2 linked regions of the Oreochromis niloticus genome follow. The protein of the gene in region 2 binds, or shares a complex with, the protein of the main gene of each other region. Links are inferred from orthologs where the notes say so. Each region holds a gene or a part of one and is shown on either strand. Other genes may lie near its edges.

Region 1 (15,388 bases), on a different chromosome or scaffold from region 2:
CAGAGTGCCAAGCTCTTCCACTGTCTACTGACGCCAGCTCTCAAAACGCACACACAAACTTACTCTTCCTCTCTGTCTAAAACACACACACACATTCACCCTCTCTTACCCTCCCCACGCGCCACTCTCCTAAAAGCTAAGCTCCTCACTAAATATATCCCCCCCCCCAAGTAAAGATAAGACAAACAGTGTGGATTTGAGAGCACTGTACAGCCAATGACAGGCGGCCGTGTGAGCTGGAGCTAATCTTATGTTAGCTTTACAATTTAGGCTTCTCAGAAACAGTGGGAAATAAGAGGCACTGGGATTGGAGAATTCACAGGGAAGGCATTTGTGTAAATATTCTCCAGTTTCTTTTTCTTCTCATTTAACCAGAGTGTTGGAGCTGTTTGGTGACCGCTTTGATAAAAACAGAACCCCCTAATCTTCTTGAGTCAACACGCATGCACCTCAAATCCCTACTCCATCTCCTCTGCTGTTCTCTCCATCCGTATCAGAAAGAAGTGGGGGAAAAGAAAAGCTGTGGTGAGCTGTGGGCTAAAAAAGCTGCGCATGTAACTAGATCGATCCTCAATGCAGCTCTGGGCCTAAGGCCTTTTTGAAAAAGAGGGAGCGAAAGGAGTCATGGACGCATTTGTTTTATCACTCTGGACCGGGTTTCTTTGGGCAGCAGATATCTGCCACATGCTCGTCTGGGTGGTTGGTATTAAGGATCCCCTTGATAGCCTCAGGTTCGTGTAGAGCATCCATTTGTCAGAAGCACATTCCTGTGGCAGTGAGACATTGTGAACTGCCTATCGGAGCTTCAGCACTGTCCAAATAAATATACTCACAATGGGCCCCAGTGTGTGTGTGTGTGCGTGTGTGTGTGTGTGAGAATATGAAACATGAGACACAAAACCAAGTGTGCGCTGCTCTGCCAGAGCATTGCTGTCTATCTGCACCTGGCTGACTGTGCAGTGTTTCAAACACACCTCCTACTCCTTGTCTTCGCCTTTTTCTCTTCCCCAAACAGTTCAGAGGTGATTCTCAGAGTCTGCGGCGCTTCTTTCGTTACCGCGCAAACTGTTTCTCATCTGGTGTCACCGGAAGTGGATGGCGATGTCTGGAGGGCTGTTTGCATCACACGGTCTCAATCGCTTTCTTTTTTCCGCCCTGTCTTGTGTCATGCTCTCTCACTCTCACCTCCTCCAGCCCTTCTTTTCTCAGCCTCTCTCACACATCTCAGTTTCATTCTGTTTCTCCTATTTATTGTGTCCTCCTCCTGGCTCTGCCCGTCTCTTTCTTTCTCAGATGATTTTTTTCCCTTTCCTCCTACTTGGGCTTCTTTTCCTACCCCACTCACATTATCCCACACTCTTTTGTAGCCACTTCATTTTTCATTTAAACACCTTCTCCCTTTATCATTCTCACACACACGCACACACGCCTCTCCTCCTCAGTCAAATCAAAGTGGTAGCTCGCCTCCTCCTCCTCCTCCTACCTACCACAGAGTCTATTGTATCTGTCATCATGTACTTCTAGCATAAGCCAGCAGCCTCGGGGTCCAACATAACAGGCCAAGTCAATCATACACTTACAGCCATGAACGCACACACCTGTAAAACACATATTCATGCATCTCTGGAGATGTTCACTATCAACGCACAGCGATGTTCATTAACGTCCCGCAAGCCACGCGGGTTCCCACTATCCAGCCTCGCTGTCAGTGCCTGATTAGCAAATCCACCGGCGCCAACACAAACATGTTTCCTCTTATTACAAATCATGTCACACTGCGTCCTAATCACAACCACTTGCAGTTTCTGGACTCACACGGTGTAGAAACGACCTGCAGTAAAACAGGAATGCACACCTGAGCTTAGTGATGTGCAACAGAGGAAGGGAGGAGGAGGGGGAGAGAAAATAAAAGTGAGCAGGAGTGTCAGTCAAACTCTCTTTGAGCGAGCCCATGTGTGATGTACATACAGCTACGTAAAAATGCACACACGTGAAACAAATCCAGGGTATAGCAGTGAATACTTGGATCCTTGATGGCATGCCTGATACAGAGTTTGATTAACTACAGTTGCAGCACACAGAGTTATAAGAAAAAGACAACAGGATGCACCCAAATCTGTAGGAGTGCAGATTCAGAGGTGTGACACCCAGCCTGATGGTCTTACCTTCAGTGACCGGCAGCAGAAAGACAGCAGAGGTATCCGGAGAGGCTGCATGCAACACTGGATTTGTTGTTCAACTGTTGTTTCCCAGCCAGCTCCTCTCTCCTCTTGTTTCTACCTCTCTCTCTCTCTCTCTCACTCACACACACACACACACACACACACACACTGATTGTCTGAGCGCTCCTCTCTCCTCCCTCTCCCTCTCTCTCTCTCTCTCACCTCTGCTTTCTCTCTCTTTCTCCCTCCCTTGCCCCCCTCTCCCTTACTTTTCTTTAACAGGGAAATCACCAGATAGAGGGAGCAGCCTGGATGCTCCCCGCCTGTGAGGACGCTCATCACATGTGGATCGTGACACAGCAATCATATATCATACGCCCTTTTCCCTTTTCCCTCTCTCTCGCAGGCACACCAGCTGACGCACCGACATGCTCCGCAGCGGCAAATGGGAATTCCAGGCTTGGAACGACTCTGCTCGCCCCATCAAGAGAGAGCTGACCAAAAGCTGCAGCCAGTTTTTTACGAGGTCAGGGTTATAAAACTGTTAGCAGATTTAGTTTATTTAAAAACAACTGGCCCCTACGGCCCTTCCTCTTCACGCGGCGTCCCCCCATGACACAGGGGTAGGGGCGGAGGGGTTCGCAGGTGTGGTGGTGGTTTGGAGGGGAGGAAGGAAGGGGAAGGAGAGAAGCATATTTGGGATTGCAACTCTGAGATACCATTTACTTCCATTAGAAAAGCAAAGCTACACATACGCTGAATATATTGAAAAAGGAGACATTATGAAAAGCGCCAAATTATAACCGAATGAAAGACTTATTTGCCAAAAATTACTCTGTGTTTAAAACACAGACACACAACCCGGAGGGGAGGGGAAATATGAGCACAAACCTAAAGTCAGTTGTATGTTTAGAAATGATGAAAACAAACTGCAATATAGGAGAGCCCCGAGTGGATCCAACTGTAATAACCTCATCCATCATTCTCAAGCGGCTCAATATGAAGACAGACAGACCCTGGAAATATTAAAGGGGCACACTGCTGTGAAGAGAAGGCAAATAATGAGGCTTGCCCTGAAAGTTATATATTCTCTGAGGCTGCGCGCACGACAGTCGCCTGATTATTGCAGTCGATTACGTCAGTGACCTCGCTTCCTTTTCAGCATTTCTGGATAGGGAATTATCAAAAATATGACAACTACCTGATGTGTTTGTGGTACTGGGATACAGAGGGAAAAGGGTATTTCACAGTTTTTACACAGGCACAGAGAGGCAGAGCCTATTAAGGGACTAGCTCGTGCCATTTTTCATCGCCTCATGAAATAAGTAACGAGTTCATGGCCCCCCAAAAAAGGTGTAAAAGAATAACACGTGTTTGGTGACAGCCTATGCTCATATTGTCATTGTATCACACACGAACATGTCCTTGGTATGGGGAGTAAAAATTCTCAGGGGAAATAAGGGGAGAGAGGTCCACCACACTAAGCAGGGCTTACAGGGTCAAAAGTTTAAGAAGCACAATTACCTGGAAGGCCTCAGCTGACCCTCAAATTTCTCGCCTTCTGTTCCCTCTCTTTCTCGCACAAATACACCTTCGACAGAGGGGATTTACAACCAGCAGCAGGAGGTGGGGGTGAAAACTTATATGCCACCAACGGGCTCCTAGAGAGTGAGAGCGAGAAGCACACGTAAGTGTTTTGTGTTTGTGTTTTGATTGCACTTTCAGGCATTGTAAAAGATCGGGCCGGCTGTGAATGGTGTCAAATTAAATGGTCATAACTCACCTGGACTGGAGTCTGACTGCCTCTCCTTGGCTTAACTCGGCTTGTGTCCACATGAGAGGTGGTGACAGGGAGTAAATGGCTTCAGATAATGTATCATAATATCACATTAAAAAAACGGTCAGTGGAGCCAAATGTGAATCCCATATGCGGGGAGAAGAGGGTGGGGTGGGAGGCAGAGAGCGGAGGAGAAAGGCCAGAAGACATATTGAGCTGAAGGGGGATGCACTGAGCTGACATACCGCTGCAAAAGCAGCTTCCTGACAACTTGGACAAACTCTCTCACTCTCTGCAGTTTTAGCTGGTAAATGGGCGGTAATAAAAAGCAAGAATAATGTGACAGCTGCTGGCAGGTAACTTACTTTTTAAAATTACACCTCGTTTCTCTCTTTGTTCGGCTCCATTTTAGTGACGTGTCACCACCTTAAGATTTTTTTCGCTTCAGTTGCATGTGACAGCGGTCCATGTCTTTATTAAGTCCCACCTTGGCTGTAGGCACTCTGATCCTCCTGTCCCTGTGAGCACCAGCACTCGAACTGGTCTTCAACAGGATTAGCAGGGCAGGGTCATATCGCATCACCTGAGTCACACATTTGCTGGCCTTTGGGCATGGTATCCTAACACCAGCAAAGAATTTATGGTGATGATAAAGCTCTGATGCCCTGTCCAAAGATGTAAACATTGATATCTGTCAGTTTTTAACTTGTTTCCTTCGGAGCAGGACAGCTTATTTCGAGCCACTTCATATCGTCTGCGAGACACATAAAACAGCAGACTGACTGATGGTGAACACACACGTATTCAGTCTTCATTTGGAAGCTTAACTTTCAGTATTTAAAAAAAATAGAAGTGGGCTATTATTTTTGGAGATTTATGCAGACCAGTGTGCAACAGAAAAACAGGCGTGTTTGCCTCAAAAGTGGTCTCCACTGGGAGCCAAATGCCTGACAAAAATAGTCCCATAGTTGTAATTTAAAGCTGGTGTAGAATAACTTTCTCTGTTCTTGACCAGGTAGAGTAATGTCACAGCAGCTGCCAAAGACAACTTGGTGTTTGATGAGTGTACCAGGTCTGCCTATGGAGCTCAGGGAGAAACACAGTTAGCTCAGAATCAAGGGATATTGTCTAGTACAGCAATAAAACTGTGGTATCAAAGAGAAACTGCACGGCTCAAATGGCGATGAGGGCGCAGTGAGTGCAGACCACACCGTAGCTAATGATCTTAACACTCATTTAAACCCAAAAGCACATAGCTGTGTGCATGACATTGCATGGGAAATCAGAACAACCCCACTGGGTGGAGGGTTTGTGGATAAAGGGATATAAGAGAGAAAGTGAAAGATTCTGAGATATGGAACAAAAAAAAAGAGCAAATAAGTGCTTCCCCATGTGCACCTGGGGCAGGGTCTGACCCTGTAAAGTAGGGGCTAAGCCTTACACCCCTCTCTACTTCCACCCTCTCTCTATACCAATGGCCATAGGCACTGAGCAATCACCGGAATGAGGGAGAGCTGCAAAAAACAATCTACTAAACTCACTTCATTCCCAAAGAAGTACCATTAAAGTAGCTGCTCTACCTCTGCAGCCCACTTGGGACTTCTGAGTCAGAATCAACAGGTGGAAAGGCACCACGTTTAGTGAAGGTAGTTTGAACTGTGCTACAAAAACACTCTACCTGTGTTCAGAAGGCAAAAACAAAAACCAGCCAACAAACAAGATACTATCTAGCTCTCATTTCCAAAGGTTTTCCAAAGTTTTCATCACAACTTGTCGTTCCATCTCAAATCAGATGATCAAAAACTCAAAACAGAGATTTGTTCTATTTGGATTAAACTATCTGCTCATATTTTGTTTTTGTGGTAAAACTTGTTATGTTTCCCCAATCCAGCATGAAAATTTCAGGCTTTTATCTTTAATCACTTTTGAGATAATCATATTCAAACATTGTCTGAGATTTCAATGTGCAAAAAAAAAAGGCCTGAAAATGGATAAATGGACCATTTCTCCAAAAATATATCTTGAAAGTATTTGATACATAAAGCTACAATTTCACAGCAAACAGAACATATGTTCAACCTTTGAAACATAAACTTTCTAGGCATTTTTTTAAATGCAGAAAATGTTTTTATAAATGTGATGATTTAAGAAGAAAATGGAAAAAAATCTATACATATTTAACAAAATTATTTTCTGAGTTGTAATTAAAGTCCCACCTGTAAATGTCATACTTCTGATTTATTTAGACGCGACAATCTACTGATACTTGTGTTTTTGTCATATATGCTCAATCTTTCGTGATTAAGTATTTCATGTTAAAAACTTTTCTGCATGCTTTAATTCACAGTTTTGTGAATTGTCTTTCACAATGTGAGACTTTACAGGATGGCTTGAATTTGTTTTTTCATATTTTACCTAGCCAGTACTTACACGTACTTTGATGTATGTCAGGGCAATGAAAAATTCAGGCTTTTATCTTTAACAGTCTTTCAGATATGCATGTTTATCCTTTGCCTCAGATTAAAATATGTGACAAAAAGGCCTGAAAGTGGGCCAACGGACCATTAAAAAAAAAAAATTAAAAATTAAAAAATCCAAATAAATTAAATATACACATATTTTGAAATTGAAGTAAAATGAGTATATCAGAGGGACAGTTGAGGTTGAGCAGTTTGGACAAAAAGCTGGTTTGGACGCAGGAGGAATAGTGGATATTTTGAACAAAGGATGTTGAATTTGGAGCTGCCAAGAAAAAGGCAAAGAGGAAGACCACAGAGAAGATTTATGGACGCACTGAAGGACGACATGCAGAGGGTTGGTGTGACAGAGCGGGACAGTGTTGGGGATAGCGTGAGATGGCGTAAGTCTGATGCCCTGGCTGTATTTTTTTTTCTTGTGTAGGTAATGACTTTAGCTAAACAAACTTGATAATTTTCCACAACTACAGTCTTAAACTGTGTAGAAAATCATTAGCAGGGCGGATTAAAAGATTATACCAATTACTGGCAGATTGTTCCAAGTTAAGTGCAGGGCCAAAAACTGCTGCTTTGGGGGAAGAGTTCTGAGAAAACAACATCTGAACACAGGTGCTTTGTGATGTGTGTGTGTGTGTGTGTGTGTGTGTGAGTGTGTTGTTCCAGGTTTAAGATTTGTTGTCATGAGAAAAGAAAGGAACCCAGCCAGTAAACAGAAACTCCCCCCTCTTGTTCTCAGATATCTGTTTAGACTTCATAGATTAGCCATGACTCCATCAGACTTGCATTAGGCCAATCACGCACATACAGTGCGTGCACGCAAACATACCCGTGCGCCGCACACTCAGATCCTCTTCACCCAGGAGACATTTATGGATTTCCTGCATATCGGTTTTTACAGTACAATCGTCCTGAGCAGAACAGCAGTAATGTAGAATGAGGACAAAAAAAAAGAAAAGAAAAAAGGGAGCAGACTCTTTAAAACAAGCCTCAGTGTCCTGTTCGTGCTGAGGCAACAGAACACAAACCACATGAACTAAACAGTGCATCGCAGAGGGTGATTCATGATAGCGCTGCCCCCGTGTTTGCTGCAAAGTTTGAGTCACATGTTCATCGTCGTGCTGTTTGATAAAACGCTTTCTTAAACATTAACAGCACTGCAAGACAACTGTTGCCTTCTATACAGCATGCAGACAAATATCAATTCACATAAAAGTCCTTTTTAAAATTGTGACGTTAATAAATAAATACATTTATAAAAGTTCATCACAATGATTAGAATTTTATGGAGTTAACCAAACTCCATGGTAGGGTCCATTACAATTATGGAAGCTAATGCCTGTTAGCTTTTGTTTTCTGTGTGGACAACTGCAGCTAAACAAAAAATTTTTCCTTTTAATTTGTAATTTTCTTTTCTTGAGAAACTTCCCCTTTTTTAACCGCTGATGAATCTCATCATTCACTTATTCAGGACTACCTACTCCCTAATGCAAGAGAGACACATGGCACAATATCCAGCTACCATATTTCAGGACAAAGACAGCAAACTTATATCAGTAGTTGTGTTTTGTTTTCACTGCTGTGATTCTGTGCATGCAGTTGCGCTGAAAATAAAGTACATTTACTATTCCAAAGAGCAACTTTTGACCCCAAAAATCTCTATGAAGCTCTTACTCATGTAAATCAAAACCTATTAACACATCTGACTACTCTGCTCAACTGTGGACTCCATCCATCCATTTTATTCCAGTTATCTAATCTGCAGTAGACAGTCTAGTTCAATATGCGAGATTCATTTTCATTTTTCTCCAGCTACATGTAGACAACCATCAACTGTGGGACCTGTAAATACAGCGATATCCTGATTTTTCTTGAAATTATTTAGCATGTTACTGTTTTTGGTGTTTGCTAATTTGTCTCATGTGAGATGAGCAAAAGGGCAGCATATGGCTGTGGAGCTGCAGGTTTACCACCCCAGATCTGATAATGCTTTAAAGCAACTGCGCAAATAAGTGCCAACAGGTACACTCACTTCTAGGAGGACTTTTGTTCTTTGGGATGCGGATGACCTACAGTAAATTCACATACCAACTTAAAAACACTTTCAGAAACTACTTCTGTCATTCTCTCAGCAGCCAAAATGAGCTTCTGTTGGCTGCTAACTTATACAGAAGGGGTCCCCACAGCAGACAGCTCCAGATATTTGATTTTTACACCAGATGCAATCTCATGGGAAGTCTTGAACCAGGAACCTCTCGTATGCTAGCTGAATGTTATGAAGCAGCTATTTTTGCAACATTATTTACATTCATTCAGTAAAAAGGACTAGATGTTACAGTCCCTGATAATGCATTGCTTTAGATGGAGAGACTCTTGTACAGACACCTTGAAATCTGTTAAAAGCAGCGTAAAAAGAGGGCTTTGCACCAAGTAAAGGTTTTAAAAATCTTTTTCTTTTGCACAATTCTCACATAGATTTGAGTTCAGCATTCTTCTTACCTCATTAAACAATATTTACAGATGAGAACAGATGAAGGAGAAAGACTTTTTTTTGGTAAAGATTTGTTTTTACCTATGTCCGCCTCTGCCCTAAGTTCTCTCTTAGATGCTGTCCTCAAGTGTAACATGCATTTGAAACAATGGAATAAATTACTAAATGCTCATGGCCTTGTAGCTTTACACTCTTCAAAACAAAGATGGGAGTGGCACAAAGTCGTTCAGCTAATACAACCATCCTCTGTCTGCCTTCAACATTAAATACTCCAATTTAAGACCATACACAGGCTTCACTGGGCCAAAGTCAGATTATTTAATTAACAGAAATTTACTGTGACCTTAAGACTACATGTGATCGTTGTAAACTGTCTTTGCTTGTACCCAAATTTAAAAAATTTCTGATGTCAATACTTTGAAAGTTTTCTACAATTTGGGGGAAAGTGCACTGTCTGCTATTACAGCAATATTTGGGGTAAACCCTCCAAATGTGAACCTGAACAGAATCCAAGCTGAAATTACTGCTTTTGGTCGACTTGTGCCAAGAAGGCCCATCCTACACAAATGGAAGGACTCCTGAAAAAGATCCATCACTTTTCTGAAGGATCAACCCAACTGCTTTTTGAAACCTGACAGACATCTTTCTTTTGTGTCAGACACAGAAGCAAAAGCTCTGAGATCAATAAGTTTGTTCTCTCCTTTTCATAGTTTTTGATTCTCTTCTGTAACTGGTCTGGATGAATATAAATCAGCACATTTATATATGTTCTTTCTCATGTATATATTAAAGCTCAGGATGTTCTCATTATCAGCAAAAAAAGCAGCAGTCAGTAAGTGGAAATTTGGTTCATAACTAGATGAGTGTCTTCCACTACATTCTACTCTACATTTAATGGATTCATTTGCGAAATGATTAGTGATTAATCTGTAAAGAACACAATCATTAGTTGCTTGTTTTTAACTGAATGCATATTTATAATGTAATATACACATAACAGTCACAGTGACCATTACTCTGCCTGGGGCACTTTTTAAAGTAGTAATACACTGTCCTGAATATAATAACTTCCTTTGATATTTTCACTGCATGACCTTCCCCATATGTCAGTAAGTCTCTGAGTACTTCCTCCCCACTTTAAATAATGGAGGCATCCTACTAACAAACTTATAGTTTTTCGCAAAGCGTGATTTATTTTCTGAATACATCCAAAGACAATCAAAAATCATTGATCAGCAAGTACTTCATATACTTCAGCTCAAACTATAATATTCTATATTTTTAAAAACCCAGCCTACTCCTGAAGGACATTGTGCACCTCATACGTCACATCCATATTTTAAAGCCCAATGATGATGACGCAACCCATTCAATCTGCTGTTGCTGTGCCACAGACCGTGACAGGGCAGAAAATGGGATGTGTGGGTGCATAGCAACTGACAGGAGGAAGAGGAGTGTTGGACGATGTGGGGGTGGTGGAGGCGTTGAAATTCCTCCCTCATTATCCTCTCTCTCTCACCTCATGTTTCAGAAGGCAAAAAAAAGCCAAGCATGTGCCCAGGAAGCTCCCCGCCACCGCTGACCGCATCACCGTCACTCGTTGTGTTTTGGTGGCGGGTGACTGTGGAGGTTAATATTTTAGTATGTGTGAAAGCAGGCGGACAGGACCTGATAATGCCCTGAGTGATGTAATGCACTGTTTCTGTGCTCAGTGTGAAAGGGGTGAGGCAGTGCATATGGTGTGTGTTTGCATGTGTGTGTGTGTGTGGTTACACAAAGGGGATTGGGTGTTTGATTACCCAATGTTTGACTTATCCCCTTACTATAATTTGCAACGCCGGCTCCCATTACAACGGCGCCTCAACCTGAACAACCTGTGCTTTTTCATATTCTAACAGTGCCACATACAGACAGGCAAACATGAGAGTGTAGTTCCATGTAATTCAGACCTCTGAAGAGCTCACTCCTCACTTCTATGTGTTGCCAATATCCTTTGCGATGTTTTCATCCATTTAGTATGAGAAAAGAAATCCCAGAACTATCACTGACAATAAGTCACTGATGCTGGAATGAGCCTAAAGGAATATATAACTGAAGCCAAAGAGAGACAACAATAACAACAAAATCCATTTTGTTTTCTCTATGTACATTTCTACTTTTAAAAGTAAGATTTTGCCTTGATAATAAACATATAAGTCCTGGATATATTTGCCAGATTTTGGATCATTACAACCCATCTACGGATTAGGACAAAATTATCAGCCCCCCAGTGAAAACTTTTGATTTCACAGGAGGGCTGATAATTTTGTGTCCAGTACCCAGAACAACTGCCAAGACACGAGTGAATGCTTTAGCCAAGTTGGGAATTTTAGTGTCTTCTCAGCTATTTCTACAGCTCTAGAGAAGGTAGAAAAGTTGTCCAGTGACTAGGAGGTTCATACTGAATAAAGAGCTGTATGGTTGAGGTCATTCATTTCATTTCACCTCTTATGAATTTATGGTAACTGCATAAAGCCAGGCCAGGGTCCCAGTGGGCTCGAGGCTATCCCAGTTGTCACAAGGTAAGTCCAAGGTACACCCTGGACAGGTTGCCAGTCTGTCATCAAAACCAACGGACAGACAACCATTCACACTCGCTTTCCTACCTATGGCCAGTTTAGAACACCAGTTAATCTGACTTGGGTGGAGCACTGGGCGGTGAAGCCAGCGTACTTGGAGAGAACCCAAGTACCCAAGTATATAAAGCACCTTGAGGCGACTTTTGTTGTGATTTGGCGCTATATAAATAAAATAAAATTGAATTGAATTGAATTGAATTGAAGAACCCATGCAGGGAGAATGTGCAACCTCCACACAGAAAGGCGTCAGCCAGCTGGTGGATTCAAATTCAGGACTTTCTTGCTGCAAGGCAAATGTGTTAACCACTGTGTCTGCAGTAATTTATCTTTGGCAGGCATCAGTGACAACAAGCATGACACTGATTAAGTCAGAAAATCGTATGAAATGGAAGAGCTGGGGTAGAGGTAGGGTTGCGAAGCAGCTTGCAGAGGCTGCGGCAGCTGTAATTAGGCTTAACCTTAGCTCTCAAAGGGTTAAAGCAGCTTAAACCTCTGAGGGCTTAGTCATCATAGCAGATAAACCTAACCCTACCATAACCCTGTAAAAATGTGAATAGTTTCTGATGTGTGTCAGACTGTTTTCGAACTTCCCTCATTGCCAAGACTTGGAAAAGGAATTTCATAAAAACATTAACTACATGTTCTGAATTCCCAGGGTTAGGTTTAGGAGTATCACTGATGACTTTGAACAACGTGTAGCACGTTGTAGTAAAGTTTACTACCTAAAATTTTTATGTCCTTGTCCTTTAATTTAATCATTTGGCAAGGCGGACACAACATAACTACCTGGTATCATTAACAAAATGACTGCCAAATGTCAGCTTTTTCTTGTAAAGGTAATACTGTTTAATCAATATATTTGTGAGCAGAGCTCTGCCCAGCATGTGTTTTTCAACCATATCTTGGCTAAATTCAAACCAAATCGCAAACACACACTAACACATGCAAGCACATAAAAAAACATCTGTGTTCTCACAACTTCTCTCCCCTAAAGCACCAATTTTCCAGTTAACTCAATTGTTTTAGCTTTGCGCTTGAACCACTGCTGCCAAACTGTACGCACACACACACACACACGCACGCACACACACACACACACACACACACGCACACATACCACTTCTCCTGTGGTTTTACACATCTCCACTCTGACCCATGATGAAAACACAGAGACTGGTTATGTGATGTACCATGTCCTTTAATTGAGGAATGAGCAGTGTGTGTGTGTGTGTGTTTGTGTCCATGGGGTAAGGGTATGTGTCTATGCTGAGGTGTCACTGCTGTTGGAGGGCAAGCTGAATGCATCCTGCAGGAAGGCAGAGTAGTTGATGTTTTTCACGGCAGCTCCGCCACCATCAAACCCCACATCGACTTCAAACTGGAAACAGGAACACACACGTCACTTTGAGCAGATTCAAATACTTAGTGTTGTAAATAATTGATTATTCTGGTGTCCAGCTTTATTTTACTATTTCTGTCTCTCCTCTGTGACTGTTTGTGCTTCTCTGTGATAAAGCTCTTCTTTATTGTTCTTTTATTTGCTTGACTCTGGACTATGACTTGACTATGCACTTTTACACAAATTAAACATTTCAGAGTGTAGCAAAAGGGCTATTTAAAATAGCACTGCTTTTTCAAACGTTAAGAAAACTAAGGGCTGTCTTTACAGCTGCCTACATTATACTGATTAAACCCTAGAAAACAAAAGAAAATCCTGCTTACAAAAGTGCCATTTAGCACTTTCCACTTTTTTTTGAATTGTTTCCAAGATAAAGTAAAATGAACAGAACAAAAGAATGATAACAGCAGAGGCAATAAGAAAATCAGCAATGCTAAAAAGCGAGTTGGAATGCAGCAAATACCAAAAAGGCACCCAAGGAGAAGTTAGTTTGTCTGGACCTGCCAACGTGACATTCCTGTTGTTTTTGACACCTTAAAAAAATGTTAAAAAGGTGCAGTGGCCATTTTTGGTCACTTCGAGGGTTTACCTTGGAGCTTTTTTAGGACGGCAGAGTAGTTGAGCAGAGACTGAGCAATGAGTTTGGGCTTAGAAGCCGGCGAGGCAATAAGCAGCTGGAAACCATGGCAGAGGAAAATGGAGAATAAATTAAGCACAGTGTCAGTATACACACACACACACACACACACACACACACACACCGTGAGCACATACACAGATTCCTTCACTCTCGTTCTATTCACGCAAGTCTGGTGAATATCTCTCCTGCTCACCTGTTTCTGCTTAGATTTGGCTGTAGCGTAGCATGCTGAATTTGTATTACACAGGAAAGATACAAGTAAAAGAGAGAAGAAGAGAAGAGCTACTTCTTTTTGACCACCCCTGTATGTATGTCTCTCTCAAGACATTTGCCTTACACACACACACAGACACACACACACACAGATTCTTCTTGTCCGATGACTGTTCCTTTCCGCTCACTTGATTCTGCCTTTGGCTCACTTATCCACTGAGTGATCGCAGGTTAGAGGAGAACTTAAACTCATTTTCAATTACCCCTATTTAAAAATCTGTGCACATGCTGTGAAATCACTTACTGTCTCTCACTGAATTGACTATTTCTTCTTGCTTTATTTGTATTAGTTACTCCTTTTTCTCACCTTTAAGGTGTCTTCAGGCATCACGGGTGGAGCAGGGTGCTCTAACCAGTTAATACCAGCAAGGAAGGCATGGTAGTCAATCTCATCTCCATCTGCAAACCTGGATAAAAGATACCATCCACATAAGAAACCGTTTTTTTGTACTTCATGGCCACAGTCGCTGGAGCTTTTTGGACCATTTTGCAAACTTAAAATTAAGAATTGCTTCCTTTCCAAGAGTAACTCACAGATAGAATTACACATGCCCATTAATTATCAGACCCCTGCAATTTTTGCTTACTCTTCCCAAAGATCTGCGAGGTTGAATTATTCAGTTCCAGCTGCCATGAAGGTGCTACAATAATCATGTACTTTCTATTTGTCTGTGGCTTCTGGAAAATCCAGTCCGAGTCAGAATCTCTGTGGCTTTCATACATTTTTTGTTGAAAGCTGAAATATTTTCAGTTTGCATGGATGCATATTGGACTGTATTCACACCACCTGGGCCAAGTTTAACCCATATTTCTGCACTGTCTCTGCACTACTTCAAAACTTTTCTTCACAACTTGTAACCACAACTGTAAAGCCAAGTATGATTTTTTTTTTTATGTGGAATAAAAATAAACAATATAGACTTCAGAGAAAACAAAGACTACCAAACAATATTCTGGGCTGACAAAAGCAGCAAAAATATGTAGAAATGGTCAAATGAAGTTTTCCCAACCATCAGGAGATGTTAGTGCAGATTGTGATTGGGATGTCTGCTTGATGTCTTATATTTCTTACCCAGTCAAATACCCCCAATATAAATAATAAAAAATGAAAGAGAAAAAAACTAAACTGAGCCTAAACACTATTAGGCTGAAACTAAAAAATCAAACGCACACTGGAAACCAACTGAAAATAGAAACCAAAATTTTAATTTCAATTAAAAAAAACAACTCTGGTCAGAACACACCTTTAAATATTTATAAGAAATGTCCCTGAAAAGATTGTAACAAGGCACCATTTCTTCATTTTTGTGGTTTTCAGTTCGGTAGAGATTTTTTTTTAATGACAAGAACTGGGCACAAACTGCGGACTGCACTTTACCTCAGTGAAAATAAATCTTTCTGAAAAGCCTTCTGAAAATGTTCTGAAATTTTTGAGGGGACCTTGAACTGGTCTTCAAAGGAGTTTGCAAAGAAAAGCGTCTGGACTTCTTTAAGTTGCTTGAAGACGTTTCACCTCTCATCCGAGAAGCTTCTTCAGTTCTAAGGTCAAATGGC
Region 2 (15,609 bases):
TAAATGACATAAAAGAACAGAAAGGGAAAAGAGGTGAGGCTGAATTAATCCCAGAAGAAGGCAGAAAGAGGACGGATTGTCTTTCTTTCTAAATGCAGAGAGGCAGAGCTGGAGATTACTGAATTATCTGAATGCAGTGATGAATCAAAAAGTGCTTTTAGTATTTAATCACTGATGTAACATTTTGAAAACTCAAAAACAAACTGTACTCTTGTTGGATTATGTTCAACTGCTGGCGCTGTTACTCTACAACATTTTTATAAAATATGAAAAATAATCGATATGCAAAAACTATTCCATAAGGTGCTCATCTGATTATTTTTGATGAAATAGCTTTATTACTTCTTAACAAGAACAAGACAAGTGAAATTAAATAGATTGAAATAATACTAAACCTCCTGCTTACCAGGTAGGCTACGCTGTACAGGTTACAGCACATGGAGAGAAAGATGATGGGCCTTTCTGGGTAGGAGAAACGCTGAGAATCCAAGAGAAAGGTCAAGACTGTCAGAGTGGTTGAGAGGAAGCACAGCACAGCCCACACCGCCATCCACGCATCCGTGAACACTTTGGCCCCTCGCCTGTAGAGCCCGCTGTCATAGCCGCACTGGAGCGTACAGCTTTCAGTCTGTTTAAGCCAAGTATATTGGTCAGGTGCAGATCCCAGGGCGTGACACTCCTCTTGGTGGGGAGGATGGCGGACGGGCTGGTATGGAGGGTCTTCATCCCCTGGACCCTCCATACACATGTGGTTGTGGTCGTTTTGAGGTGGGAAGAGGCTGCAATTGAGCTCCTGGGCAGAAAATATAATGGGTAATGTCAGTAATGGATTTAAACGTTTCTTGGTTTTCCACATTGCTAAACTACATCCTGAACTCATATTTTTTTAAGACATGCGTGATGTCTTTGGTGATACGACTCACCTCAGGCCATATGAAGCCAAACTCGTGGAGCACGGGGAGGCATTTTTTCTTGACCGACAGACACATGCTGCCACATGGACCAATAGGGATGGGAACCTTGTCTGTGCACATTGGCACATAAACTGAGCACAAGAAGAACTGTTGGAAAGTGGAGATAAAGAAATACATGTTTAACATGTGATCCTTTGCAAATGTAATCAAGTTTGGCAAACTATGCATTCTGTGATGAGATTTAAAGTCATGGAGCAAAGAGTGACTGCAAAGTAACTTTTGGGAGGAAAAACATTGTCACATGAACAATATATTAGTCTAATACTAATATACCGGCATATTTGCGCTTCTCTTTGGGAAGATTGTTCACAATACTCTCATCGATGTCTGCAGTTGTGTCAGGGAACCACAGCCGAGTAGGTGCAGGGTCAAGTTGTGTCTAATTTGTCAAACACATTGCCGGAAGTTCAGAAACAATGGCCACTCATCATTTTCCTGTTCAGCATAACTCTAACATAAGGTATGGGCAGAAAAATGAAGGACAACCAACATAAAGCTTCTTACTTAAGGTGTTGGTCCATTGCATGGCTGTCAGAAGTGCTTCAATAAGCCTTGCCACTGATTCTTTAAGTGTAGGCATGAACACTACTCTTCTAAAGGATTTTCACCCATTGGTTGTTTTTAATGATGCTAGTGGGGAATGCTGTCTAAAACATCTGTCCAGAATCTCCACAGATGTTCACCTGGGTTGGCACCAAGTGACTCTAAACCCACAGTATATTATTCAAATCATTTTCACACTAATCAAATTATTCATTTACCCTTTGTTCCCTTGAAAAAGCCAATACTATCAAGATAGAAGTGTTTCATCATAATATAAAGGGGATCCCTCGGAACAACTCTGAGTTGGAGTGACCCTTCCCTCCAAGGCCCTCTGGCATGCCACACTTCAGAAGCAGGACAAAAGCTAATGCTCCACACCCAACAACAGTTAATAATTTATGAAATGAATACAAGTTTAACTTTAGTGAAATAAAAGCCAGCATGATATCATCTGTAAATGCTTGTTTATTTTCAACCACAATAATCATTATCATTCAACTTGGCCCTTTCATAGTCCAGCTCAAGTGAGCCTCTTTGGGGTCCGCCCGACAGTTCGAGAACCACAGCTCAAAAGGGGACAAGTGGACGCTAATGATGCCAGCAGCACTCCTCCCATTGAATTCTCAAAGCAGTGAACTCTAAAGGGCTTTTTCATCCTCTGTGCAGTATAAGGAATATATATGAATATGTATATATGAATATCAGAAGTTTTTGCCCATTAAAAACTGGTACTGGTACTAAGCTCCAATTCCAGTTCATCTAGAGCAAGTGAAAGCAACAGTATACTTAAGCCAGTTTCAATTAAACACTGAAATTGCAATAGGAGAGCAACAGTTATCCAATCTTATGTCATACTTTTTAGACTTGTGTTTCACAGTTTGATTGAAGTGAATCAAAGGTAAATTGTGTCATTTGTGTGGTGTATTTTAAAGGAGTGAAAACAGTGCTGTGAGTGTAATGCCGGCCCTGTAGGCTTTCTGTATATTACAACTGGATTACAGCTGCTAACTGTACAGTACTCCCACATGTGGCTCCTCCAGCTACTTGCATATACATCTCGCTATCCTGCTGCTTTTTCTGCTCCGACTTTCATTACATTGCATCACCTCTTCTATTAGCGGCTCTCTATTTTCACCTCTAATAAGGAATGCCACATCTTGAGTCAAGACAGAGAGAGTCAACACTAACCTGCTCCAAGGTTACGCATACAAATCCGTACCATCAAAAACAATCTGTGGTCATTACAGCAGTGAGGGCATGTGCCGTGTAATGCTGCATGATCCCCCTGATCTAAGCCTGGTTTTTATTCTGTCCCATGGCAATAGTTTTGAAATAGATATCTAAGTCAGTGTTATAAAGATAGTGAACAGTCTGGAGTCACATTTGACTGCGTGCAGACATTCTAGCAGCAGTGAGGGAAGAAATACTCTGGGGTTACAGAGGGTAGCAATTTTAAGTGATTTCATGCATTTATAGTGAAATCTGTTTGAAGCCAGAGTGTAAAATTGTACCAGGCTCATGATATGAAAACACACAGAAGCAGAAAGTGCATTTCACTCAGCTACCATGAGATAACGGAAACAAGCTCTAGGCACTTGGAGTGGTTAAAAAAATGTGCTGGAGTAAAAGGTTTGATGCTGTTTTTCCATTTGAAAAATATCAAAATATGTATTGGGCCACAGCAGGAACTACATGTTACAGAAGTGCAGCCTTGATCCAGTTATAAACAAATCGCAGCTTGAAATCGGCCCTTGAACGGAGCCCAAATGAAACATGAATCCAACAAGGGTGTCAAGGTTGGGAAATAAATAATCAGGGAAATGTTATACAACTCTTAGTGTCTGTGAGAATTTACTGGTGGGGAAAGGTTAAAACTGTTGCCTCTGTGCACTGAAGCATGTTTGAGATATAAACAAATTTAATATACATTAAATGACTGAGCTACTGTTCTGCTACACATCTACAAGCAGATAATGTTGACTTGTCTTCTGATAATGAATCAGCGACTTGTTACCGCGGCAATATCAAAATCACTAATCCGAGTCTAAGAAAACGTCCTTTAAACTCTCAGCTTATTACACTGTTCCCTGATCGGCATCTGGGTTATCATGTAGTTTCACTGGTCTGGCCCAAAGTGGCCTTTATGTGGCCAACAATGTAAAATGAGTTTGACATCCCTGTTATAGAGTTTCTCACCAAAAACAGAGAATGTATGTTCCTGAAATTTATTGAAGACCTGCCATCCTGAATAATTGTGACTTGATAAAATGCAATCAACCCAAATGTTGTAATATTGTCTTGGTTTGAGTTACTAAAGCATTCAAAGAAGTTCATAAGACATACAACACATGTTATACTTCAAATAATTCTCACGGTGAGCTCTGCATACTCAAGCTGTGACAGTAACCTCACATATTCTGGGTGTTTTCCCTGACTGTTGGTAACCTGAGTCCTGTCACTTCACTGCGAAAAGCTACTCCGGTTACTACTCAGGAAGCCTCCCATTAGAGCAAATGTTAAATGATACGGTTCCTCTTTCCCCTTTCTCCCTCTTTAGCATCTGTGTGTGTGTGTGTGTGTGTGTGTGTGTGTGTGTGAGAGAGAGAGAGAGAGAAACTGGGTTGTCAGCTAAACTTACTGGACAATTTACAACTGGAGGAGGACAGTTTGGCTTCATGCTGCAGTTGCTTCTTGATCTGTGTGGTCATCTAGCACACACTGTATGCTTCTTAAGCAGTGTATTAATTTAACATGCCAAAATATTTTTTTACCCCTATTTCCCAACAGCTGCACACAGCAATAAGTCACTCTAACGCTGTAATAAAATCACATGCCACTCCAGGCAGGGCAGTGGACTTAAAATAAGGACTGAGGGGGGGAAAAAGCACTTGGAAAGGTGTGGGCTTGATTTCATGTCAGTGTGCGAGGATGTCTAGACGATCTGGACATGCTTGCATGCCTTTGAAACTGGGCGTCTCTAAATAAAGGGAATAAAAGCAAATTATAGAAAAATGTAAACACCACTTGTCCACACTGAAACTTGCCATCTCTAAAAGAAATCTCTGATGTGCCACCAGCTGCTCCAATAATAGAAAATGAAATGTCACATAATTGGACCAATCTTTTTCTTTTTTCCTTACATGGTGCAGGAGTCAAACAAGCAGCATTTGTTTTATGACACTGAGGGCATCATTGTTAACAAGACAGTGCAGTATATAGCACTGAAGACTCAGCTGTTGCTGTGAGGGGCATGAACTCAGAATGTCAACAGACAGAGGGGGCATTTTCAATGAATTTAGCATGACAGCCTGGCACAACAGGAAAGGGAGGAAGGCACGGAGCCCCCCGCTCCCGCCCGCTCCTCTTGACTCCGTGGGAATCAACTCATGTTATGGCCCTCATTATCACCGGGGCCATCAGTCTGATCAGTTCGCGGTGCTGCAGCTCTGTCATGCGCTTTGAGACAAACACACTGCTCCTCTCTCTTTGACGCACGCAAATAAATATAGCAGAGATTCCAGACTGAGCCATGCTTTTTTTTAGACCAGGCTTGTTCCTAAATTTGTGCACGTTAATGGTGTATTATTATCATCATTATTATTATTATATTTGCATGGTGGTTATTCTACTCTGTTGTGATGCCTTGACATCAGTCGCTACGATTCGCATGGGTCCACTACCTTGAGTTGACTTGAGCAGCCGTACTGAATGAGCGGCGTGAACGTGGTCAGTTGCAGCTCTGCGTCCGACTGCAGCACGTTGCCGACCAAGTTGGGCATCTTGGTGACGTTGTAACCGAGACCCTGGCACATGCTGATCCGGATCGGGTCGCAGGTCATCTCCTCCACCTCATCGCCAAAAGCCCTGACCAAGCAGAGCGGAGCGACCAATCCGGATAAGAGAAGCACTGCTGACCCCGTGAGCGACACCATCATCCCGGGCATGGTCACCCTGATATTGAGCGGCTGCCCCTCTGTAAATGTTGCCACAGTTATTATCTCGTCAAACACAGTCGGGTTAAGTCGCCCTGGAACCTACAGCGGCGTTTGTAGTCCAGCTGGAGCGGAGTGCGTGTTCGTCCGTGCGCTCTGGGAGCTACACAATCCCACTCTGAGCCATTCAATAAATTCAAATATCCTGAACGCAGAAGTGGATCATTGCGATATCAAAAGCGCGTGTTTTCAATTAAAAGAACGTGCGCACTTGCAGTTTGAGAAACAAACAAACAAAACTGCATCTTGATAAATCCTCAAGTCCTTCTTATGACGTCTCCCGTCAGTAACTCCGTGTGGGAAAGCGCAGCGGACCGACAAAACATACAGCGGGACTGATTTTGTGCCTACTGCTTCCAAGCGTCCAGCATTAAACTTTATTGTGTCTGTGAAGGGAGACTATTTTCCTCGTCCAGAGAAAAGCCGACCAATCCAAGCACGGGAGTTGGGTTTCCCTGACCAACCCCTGGCCAGGTGGGCGGGATTCGAGAGAAAAATAGAAGAGCGAGCTTCATCCACTCCCCTCTCCCCTTTATACTCTCTCCCCCCTCTCGCTCTTTCCTTTCCTTCAGCATTTTGCCTTCTCCCGTCTCATTTCCTTTTCATGCTTTTCTTTTCTTTTCTTTTCTCATTCTTCTCACTGTGTTTCCTCTCCTTTCCCCCTGAAAAGAAAATGAGAAGCATTCCCTAGCTAATTCTGACAATATCCAGAACATGTATTTTGACCGGATGATGTGGTCTACATATAATTTTATTGGCTGTATTTTTAGAAAATATGCATCTGAAAAGTAGATTTAGAGTGTGCATGTGTGTGTGTGTGTGTTTGTGTGTTTTATATTTAAAGTCCTTAATTGTCTTTTAAGGGCATCTGGAACGCCACCACAGGTTCCACTCCCCTGCTCTAAAGGCCTGTCAGCTCTAAGTGCTCATGACATTGTAATTGAAAATAGGGCCTTAAGTGATGCTGAAGCATTGGAAATCTGTTTTGCATTGCAGTGAATGCACATACTGGACAGGTTTTGTTTGCAAGTGGCACCCAGGGAGAAGGTTTTTTTTTTTTTTTTTTTTTTTTTTTTACAGCATGACACTAGCGGTGAATAGTGTTGCTTTGGCTTTTCTGTGTTGTTAAGTGGCCTTGGGTGAGAAAGGGCTTGGATATGCTTGCAAATATTTTGGGAGAAGGGATGCTTCATGTGTGTGTTCTTCAAAGTAACATGCAGAATTATGACAGCTTAAAGAATCTCCCAGATGTAATCAAACTCAGAAAATTCAGATGCAGTTGCAGACTAGCAGATATACAGTACTCGGGCTTTTCTGCAAAGTTATGATTCTCTAGTTAAATTCCATCTATGTGCAAGGACTGCTGTAGTTCTGTCATTTAAATATGTACCACGTCCAAGCATTATTTATCAAGGTTCAGGAGTTAACCTATTGAAACAACTGAATACACACCCTTTCATGGACACAAACATAAAAGTTCGCCCTGACCCCAAATATGTGCCTGTTTAATCTCTACTATCTACTCACACAAAGTAAACATTAGCAACAAAAACTGGAACAAACGGGAGAAGAAAAGAACAGTAACATTGCAGAGATACTTAATTGTGATATAATAGACTTGAAACTTGAACTAGAAACACTTTTGCACATCAAACCATTTCTATCAGATTTTCTGAGAGTTCCTGTCTATATCAGAGAGTTGCACAAATGCTGAAAACATGTCCAAATCAGCAGCAGTCAAGTTGACTGGTGTCATTGTGCTGCTGTTCTAGCTCCCTCTTAGATCACCCCATGATGGTTTCGCAAATCCAGTGTGAAAACTGATTGGCAGCACCAATGACCTCCCCAACCAACCACCCCAACCCCCAACGCAGAAACACTCACACATTCAGAGGGGCACATATTCGCATACGCACCTTCCCCCTCTATTGCTCTTCGTCTGAACCCGAGGTCAAGACCTGAAGTAATTAGCACCGAGCTGAAACAATAGCGTGTGCCTTGGAGCTGATGGCTATCAGGGGAGTGGCTTGTGTGCGTGAGAGTGTGTGCGCATGGATCCAAAAGAATGAAGTGAATGCATGGGAACTTAAAACGAAGCAAACTTGGGACCAAAGTTCTGGAGCAAAGCTTAATTTAGGAACTTGTGAGCATTCAAAGTGAGATTGCTGGAAAAAGTAAGTATCCGTGAAAGCAGAGAAAAGTGGCATCAGCACACACACACACACACACACACACACACACACACACACACACACACACACACACACACACACACACCACCCCCCTCACCTTCCCAACAGAGTGTGAATAGCAGAAGTGAGCATTTAACATGTTTGAATGGACGACCTAATGACTATTACACTGGGTAGATAATGACCACAATTACCCTTTAAGCTACAAAACTAACACATCATACATTACACACTTATACATTCCTGAACTGACATTCAGCTGCTCAGCAAAAAACAAAAAGTAGTCCCATTTAAATATGTTTATACATGTAACTTGTATTTAAAAGAAACAGATGTGCATTATAAATATTAATACAGCTGACTGATTGCATGGGACACAGATGTTCTGACTGTTCATAATAAATTATTTTAGTACTTTGATAGTAGTTTTTACGAATCCACATGGAGGGTATTTTTTGAGCCATCCTGCATCTTAGCACAAACCACGTTCTAACCAAACCAGCAATCAGCTTTGAAAGGAAATAGGTCTGCCAATACTTTGGTCAGGCTAAGCATAACATCAACATTTACACTGAGTAGTTAATTTATAGTGACTGTACGGAACGCAGGATTTGAAGGCTGCAGAGGTGGGACCTGGTCGTAGTAAATATGCAATCAAAATCTATTAAATGCTTGTGTGGATGTGGGAAGGTGAGGAATTTCAGCCATTCAGATCACCGGTGGCAGAAGTCGCTTCAACAGCAGCATAACAGCGCAGTTCCGTTTGGTATGTTTTTACTGATTTTGTAACAAGAAGGAATAAACCTTTAAAATGACTTTCTCAAACATACCGCATGAGGTCTGTGTGCGGTTTGTTTTGCAATCCAGTAATGCTGATTTCCACTGCTGAAGGCCAAGCAAAAATAGTCAGGGCTTTCTAATTATCAATGCCACACAGTTTTCTCCAAGACAGCGTTCATGTGACTCTTTTTGCATGCTGATGCCAACAGAAAGGACTCGGTGGTGTGGTTCTCATCCCCAAATTACCCACCTCTGCTAACATTTTGATGGTTTAATGCTTAAAGAGCCCTGCCTTTGGAAGGACATGTGCCCTGGTTGGCCCGAGTTCAAACTTCCCTGAGGTCTTAACTTCCCCTAATCCCTACTCTGCACCACTGCCACCTTTGTTACTTCCACAATAACAAAAAAGTACATGTGCAGAATTATAGACACCGCAGGAGGTAAGCTGGTTGGGCAAATATAATAAGTGAAACGCCTCACCCAGTCCCACTCCTACCAGTTTAATTCATCTTTAGTCTTTGGTTAATAAAGGGAGAAGTGAGGGAGAAGAAACAAATTAAAGAAATGTTTGACAGAGTCGAGTCTCTGCATCTTTTGTTGACGTGACTGCTGGTTTTAAAATGGTTGTGCCAATGCTGTGCTGATTTATGATTACTGGTAACGAAGCTTCACTTGAGATGACAGCTGCTAAAATCAGATACAGTCTGTGAGTGGGCAGGGCACCTGCATCTGTCCTAATGATTTAATAGCAGATGTTCAGAGTGAATTAGATTTTGTTACTTACTTCCTCCATGGTTGCTCTGTTTATTTTCTGGGGAAAAAAGCACATTATAGCAGCAACACTCTCCTTTCAGTTTTGTGGAAAGACGCACCATTATGCCATATGAAACCTTTAAAACAGCACTAAATACAAAATGCTTCTTCCTAAAAAAATATCTTCATATACTAAAAACATCTGAGATTTGTCACAACCCTGTGAAGGCCAACTGGGTCTTACTGTGGGAATGTAACCATTCTAACCTTTCAGCTTGGCAGGCGGAGTGAAAAGCACTACCCTGAGGACAGAAAGAGAGACACAAGTGTGTATCTGTCACCAGATAGCATCTTATGGCTCCATGCCCAATCCCTTAGTCCTTGAAGTGTGGTATTAATAGGCCTGCCAACTCCTTGGAATGGTGTGAGTGTGCATAACTGAAAATGTTCGACATAGACTAGTGTGCTGCTAATGATGTGCGGCTTTGCTTCCATGAATTTAGTATTTTAAACTCCTTTGCATGCGAGGGTTTGTGTAGGATTGGTGCTACGTGTTGATGATGCTGAAGTGAGTGGTTATGTCAGTACGGGGTTCGGGGTGTTTGACACAAGAATGTTTTTTTTTACCAATTCTTTTCTTTTTCCTTACAAGTGATCTGTCCCCCGTAGGATAGTAGGTTCACATTACTCCATTGTATAATGCTATATACCACACACTCTCTTTCATCAACTCTCCTCCATCGTAATCTGGCCCCTGATTCCAGCTCTTTACTGCCACTCCCAGCCTCCTTTTCAAGCTGTCAGTCTTCTCCTCCTCCTCTTTTTAGGACTGGAGTCACAAAGCTTGCAAATGAAATCAAAATTTAGATGAAAAAAAATAATACTCATAATTTTAGGTCTGATATGAACAATTTATACGTTGAAATTTTCAGTAAAACGTTCGGAGAATCATGTTCTTGGTAGAAAGGTCTTTTGGGTTGTGTATGTGTGAAAGAGAAAATGTTCAGTAAATCAACAAGATCAGAAAGGGACCCTTCTAATGTTAAAATTCTGAGCTTTACAGCAAACTAAACAAGTTTACAGTCAGTTACAGTGTTATCAATATTGAAGTTCATTGCAACAACGTAATATGTCAGCCATGGCAACTATATGGCTCCTTCACATGTAAAATACTGTCATTATCTCAGTTTAAAATTACATTACCATGAATTTAATATGATTTGTAATTTGACACTGAGGTTTTTCTCATGTCTTCTTGGCAGGATATTGGCATATATGCTTTGTGCCTGACTTATTTGCAGTGTAAACAGTGGTGCATGTGACCTAAATAGGGATAAAAAATACAGTCAAAATGATAAAATACGAGATTTATTTAAATTTATTTAAATTTTTATATTTTATACATATCATAAAAACAGCTCAGCTGTAAAGCCTCTTATAGGCAACAACATTTATGGCAGTTTTTCCTTAAAATTTCAGTTTTTCTTCTTATCTGAGCAAGGGACATGTGTATCTAATAATACCCTACATAAAATATTGTTACTAACTTCTGCATAAAGACTTGAACCTCACTGGCAGGATACCACTGCACACCGGGAAGTGTCTTGTCTATTCATCTTAAATTCTAAAAGCCACTTTTTTGAGTGGTGACTTTAGCCCAAGGCGGCCCTGTTTGGCTTGTTTGGTGACAAGCAACAGAGTGCTGATAGATGGTTCCTGTCCGTGGCTGTAAATTGGCCTCTTGTTGGAAAGTTAACCCCTGTAACCCTGCTTGTCTGTAACAGCAGACTCCTCTCTCACAGCCCAGGGCAGCTGATGAGCTTTTCCCAGAAGTCCGATGAGCAGGTGGTAGCGGTCCAGTTGGGATGCGGACGGATGTGCTCTCTTCTTAAAAATGTCCCCATTTCTGTATATGACTGCGTGGGTGAGTATTTGGCTCAGAAGAGAGAGAGGGAGGGAGAGAGGGAGAAAAAAAAGAGTAAAATAAAATCATCTCCTATCTTTGGAACATCTGCACCAGCAAATGAATGCAGCTCCCTGTGATTACAGCAGTGCCGTAATAATGGATGAAAAAACATGTGTCTGTGCAGAGCATGTCAGGAGAGGTCAGCTAAGTAGGCCGGGCAAACCAATTAGGTAGCTGTTGCTGCTGAATGTGTTTCTTTGTGTTATGACTGTGTCTTTATGGTCATTATTAATCAGAAGGGAGATATATTGTGCAAACGCTTAATTCTGATGAACTGTGAACACATTCGTGCTCACAGAGAATTAGGGAGTAGTTCACCTCCTCCTCCTGACCTTCTGCAGACACAGCTGTTTCTCCTCTCCTCTGGCCGGTGACTGGGATGAGTTTTATTAATGTCCTGTAACTAAGTAACTACATAATATGGATCTCTGTGGCCCTGCTCAGTGACTGATTTATCTCCCTGCTTGCTGGGAGTGGGTGGGTCTGACTTTACAGTATTTCATGTATGAAGAGCGACATGCCTTTTTAATGAGCTGGATAATGCGGCCAGAGATGAGTAACTTCAACATTTGTTAACTAACTGTATTCTAATATATATTTGAGTATTGCTGCAATTTGTTCACTGCTTGCAAGTAAAGCAATCATTTTTGTGGTATGGCGATTTCTGGGGAGTGCGAGTGTTCAATCAAACATGGCAAAAACCAAGACACTGAACCTTTTCATGAAAGACTGTATAATTGAGGAGCTGGACTGCTCTTTAACAGACAACTTCTGGGAGCCACTTTAGCACAACTGTGTGTGTGTGTGTGTGTGTGTGTGTGTTTGTGTGTTTGTGTGTGTGTGTGCTCTTGGCGCACTATTCATCCATGAACTGTAGAACCACCATGACACCATAAGATGACCGCATGTATACACAATGAGCACGTCCAATAACACCTTTGGGTAGTTTGTGCATGTTCCGTCCGATTATTGACATTTGTGAGTCAAGGCAAAGCAGACAGAGTGATGAGTGGTTTAAAGGCTCAGAGCACACACAGTAACTCACACACACACATAAGCACACGAGTTTGGAAACAAAATATGCGATAAGAGCAGGCGTGTGCTTGTTCTGACTATGAAGTGGAAATGTTCTGTCAATTGTTGTGTCGAAGGGCTGACATCCAACATGCAGCTGTGCATCGGAACAGAGGGGGGAGCGGGAGAGAGCAAAGGAGAGACTGATTTATTATGCTTAGAGGACGAAGGTGGACACCCTGTTTTTCCAATACAGTGGGAGATATGCAGAGAGGAAAGCGGGAGCGACTTCAGAGAGCTGGAAGCGGATACAACTGCGGTGTGCACTCACAGAGAGACCAAAAGAGAAAGCAAAGAGAAGACGAATCTGTATTTATTTCTATAACCAACTGAAAGAATAACTGTCACATAGTCATAAAAGGAATCGTTGTTTTAGTTGCTGAGTGCTCAGTGTTCTGGTTTCTACAGCAAACACACCATCATCTGCTTCTCCCTTAGTTTGTTATTCATAGACCTCTGCGCTGACTTCCTTGGCACCTGTCTCTTCCCCATCTTGTTGCTCCGCTCCCTTAAATAGAACTCGTCTCTCCAGAGGAAGAGTAAACACTAGCCCTGTCGTGGGAATACAGACAAGCACAAATACACACACAAGCATATAGCAATGTACTCATAGTTTATATCTGAGCACACATGGGGTAAGTAAATCACAAGATCAATTGTTTAGAAGTGGAAAGTGCAAGAAAAACAACAATGTAAGATAAAATGTTTATTTTATGATGCAAAATACCTCTGTTGGATATTTATATGTCAGTGTTTAGTTTGATCTGGCCTCAGTGGTTTGGACCCAAAGCAAAGATGCACTGCTGTATGTAGGAGGAAAAGGCCATTACGCTTGTGTAGGCTGAGGCACTCCCCTGCATGTGTGCCTTTGTGATAATATGAAAACACTCATAAACAATCTGCAGCTTCAGGCGTGTTTAATTTCCACACTTTCCTGAGCTTTTCCAGGTCATTTTATAGCAACGCCAAAAATGTTTAGTGTTAGGAATGGCGCTAAGTCATTGTTATTCCAAACTACAAGGATAAAATTGGTTTAGAAAAAAAAATGGCAAGGAGTGTTTCGAAAATAATGATTTGTAAAGCATTACATATTAACCCCGTGGGCTGTTTGTTCTGCCCATCAGGTCGTGCCCCCCCCAGACTTAAGTACGAACTGATCAGTGCTACAGAGAGCTGAACTGGTCCTAGCCTGCAGAACTGTGGTGTAATCACTGGAAACACTGTGAATGCTGACTGTTGATGTTCACTAGATAATATTGGTGCATCTTTTTAAATATCACCAAATGCGTGCGTCTATATCTGTATGCATACGCCGGTTCCATAACGGTTTCACCTTATTATGTACACACACGGGTTGTGGTTAGAGTGTTTCTCTTTTACTTGAGTTAAAGAAGCAGCACACAGCCAGACTGTTTGATATGTGGAGTGCCTGCTAGACACAGTCCCCTCCCTCACAGTGTTGCTCTCACATAAACACAAACACTTTTCATTCAACAGTCAGATTCCTGTTTTCGTGCCGCTCATTCAGAGACTCTGGACAAGAATAACCTGAAAAGAATTCACATGCTGGCACGCCCAGTCTCGGTACTGATGATATTGTCTTTTGATGCTTTTACAGTCATACCTGTGTTTCAAATTCTCCACCACAGAAACCGTCTAAAGCATTCAAAAGATCACAAGCGTATAAAAAAATGCATCTGTGGCTCTTGTTGTTCGTTTTTAGTCAGTACCTGAGTGTGTAATGCCTGTGTGTACAGTGTAAGCGAACGTGAGTTTTGATACCTGATGTGGGTTTGTGGTCATACGTCATCCAGCATATGGTGAGTGTGAGAGTGAGTGTGTGCTTGCAAAATGCTTTATACAAACGGCTTATTCATCTTTGTTGCAATAGTGGGTGCCCGCCGTAGCATTCTCACCATACCACGTCCGCTCAGTCCAGTTGTGTGTTTATGTGTCCCCTCTTTGTCTCACGACTGCTAGCTTTACTGCAGACAGTGGCTGACAGACATAATCTTGCATGCACACTGAACCTTTCTCTGAAGACACACACACACAGACACACACGCGTGCACGGACTGGAAGACAAATGATCCTTGCTGACACACAGACAGAGATGTAGACAAGCTGCTTTTCCGTTTGAATGCTCAGCCAAACCGCAAGCCGCAATTACACTTGTCCCTGTCTGTTTGACTGCAGCAGAGATAGCGTGCTGTGTATTCACTCTGTGGCAGAAGACGATGACAGACAACGGAGATGTCATGGCCTTTTTTAAAACTAATTGTAATGGTAAAAAGATCAGTTACAGTACTATAAAACTAATTCTCAACAATATATGCATTTTTATGACCAGAGTAAATACAAAAACTTGGTCTTCTCCCTTTTTTCAATCTCTCCATAAATCTATGTGTCACAGTAAGGAGGCTCTGTGGAATGTGTTGTATATGCTTTATAGAGCAGCGTTTCCTGGAATTAATTGGCAACGTTTTTAGAGGAGCATAACGCAGGTGCGGAGGAATTTTGGCTGAACTGGTAAAAATTTGTCAGAATAAATTGATGGAATTACAAGTGGAGTAAAGCAAACTATGTGAGCAAATGGTGCGCAATAATTCATGCAGGATTTAGATAGTGCCTCTTTGAGAAAGAGCTCAAATCCACTGGCTTTACATGACCGTTACAGCTCTGAAATACCAACCAAGGTTTTTGTGGATAAATTGTAATGAAGTTTCATAACAGCATAGCAAGGCATGTCAGCTCACTGCCAGACACTTCCTTTGTTTCATATGTTAATGTCATGTGTTTTAAATATCAGTCATAAAGCTTTCTTTCCCCCAAAACTCCTTTCCTTCTCTTCTCTGTGTTTTCCTGTTTTTTTTCCTCGGGGTTTCCGACCCCTGACCCTTGTGAGGTCACTCATGGCAAATCATCAGATTGTTTTCCTGGCTGCTGTCAGCATCTCCCATGAATTTATTTTTTTCCACTTCCCTCCCCTTCAAGGTTAAAAAAAATCAACTACAGGGTGGGCCATTTATATGGATACACCGTAATAACATGGGAATGGTTGGTGATATTAAAGTCCTGTTTGTGGCACATTAGCATATGTGAGGGGGCAAACTCCTCAAGATGGGTGGTGACCATGGTGGCCATTTAGAAGTCGGCCATCTTGGATACAACTTTTGTTTTTTCAATAGGAAGAGGGCCATGTGACACATCAAACTTATTGGTAATGTCACAAGAAAAACAATGGTGTGCTTGGTTTCAACGTAACTTTATTCTTTCATGAGTTATTTACAAGTTTCTGACCACTTATAAAATGTGTTCAATGTGCTGCCCATTGT

What was found.
Region 1: the proteins of fzd4 (region 2) and ndp are in contact, whole or in part, in a crystal structure (PDB 5BQE), measured with the Homo sapiens proteins. The link is inferred for Oreochromis niloticus from reciprocal best matches to the Homo sapiens genes FZD4 and NDP. Residues at the interface, in NP_036325.2 of Homo sapiens: Ser51, Met52, Gln54, Asn55, Leu56, Gly57, Gln95, Phe96, Met105, Thr107, Lys109, Ile114, Asn152, His154, Met157, Cys158, Met159, Glu160, Gly161, Pro162; in NP_000257.1 of Homo sapiens: Asp33, Ser34, Pro36, Arg38, Met40, Arg41, His42, His43, Tyr44, Val45, Asp46, Lys58, Met59, Val60, Leu61, Lys102, Lys104, Leu106, Tyr122, Leu124, Ser125.

Annotation. Positions count from the first base shown.
Region 1 is NC_031987.2:31,089,358-31,104,745, forward strand, and holds the start of ndp (norrin), read right to left. Parts: upstream 6,384-15,388; 5' UTR 3,687-6,383; intron 2,372-3,686; exon of another isoform or gene 2,301-2,371; 5' UTR 2,166-2,300; intron 1-2,165. Other genes in the region: efhc2 (EF-hand domain-containing family member C2), read right to left, coding at 12,784-12,900, 14,142-14,241. UniProt on the Homo sapiens protein: Activates the canonical Wnt signaling pathway through FZD4 and LRP5 coreceptor.
Region 2 is NC_031979.2:17,450,780-17,466,388, forward strand, and holds the start of fzd4 (frizzled-4), read right to left. Parts: upstream 5,919-15,609; 5' UTR 5,462-5,918; coding exon 5,198-5,461; intron 1,062-5,197; coding exon 924-1,061; intron 794-923; coding exon 407-793; intron 1-406. UniProt on the Homo sapiens protein: Receptor for Wnt proteins.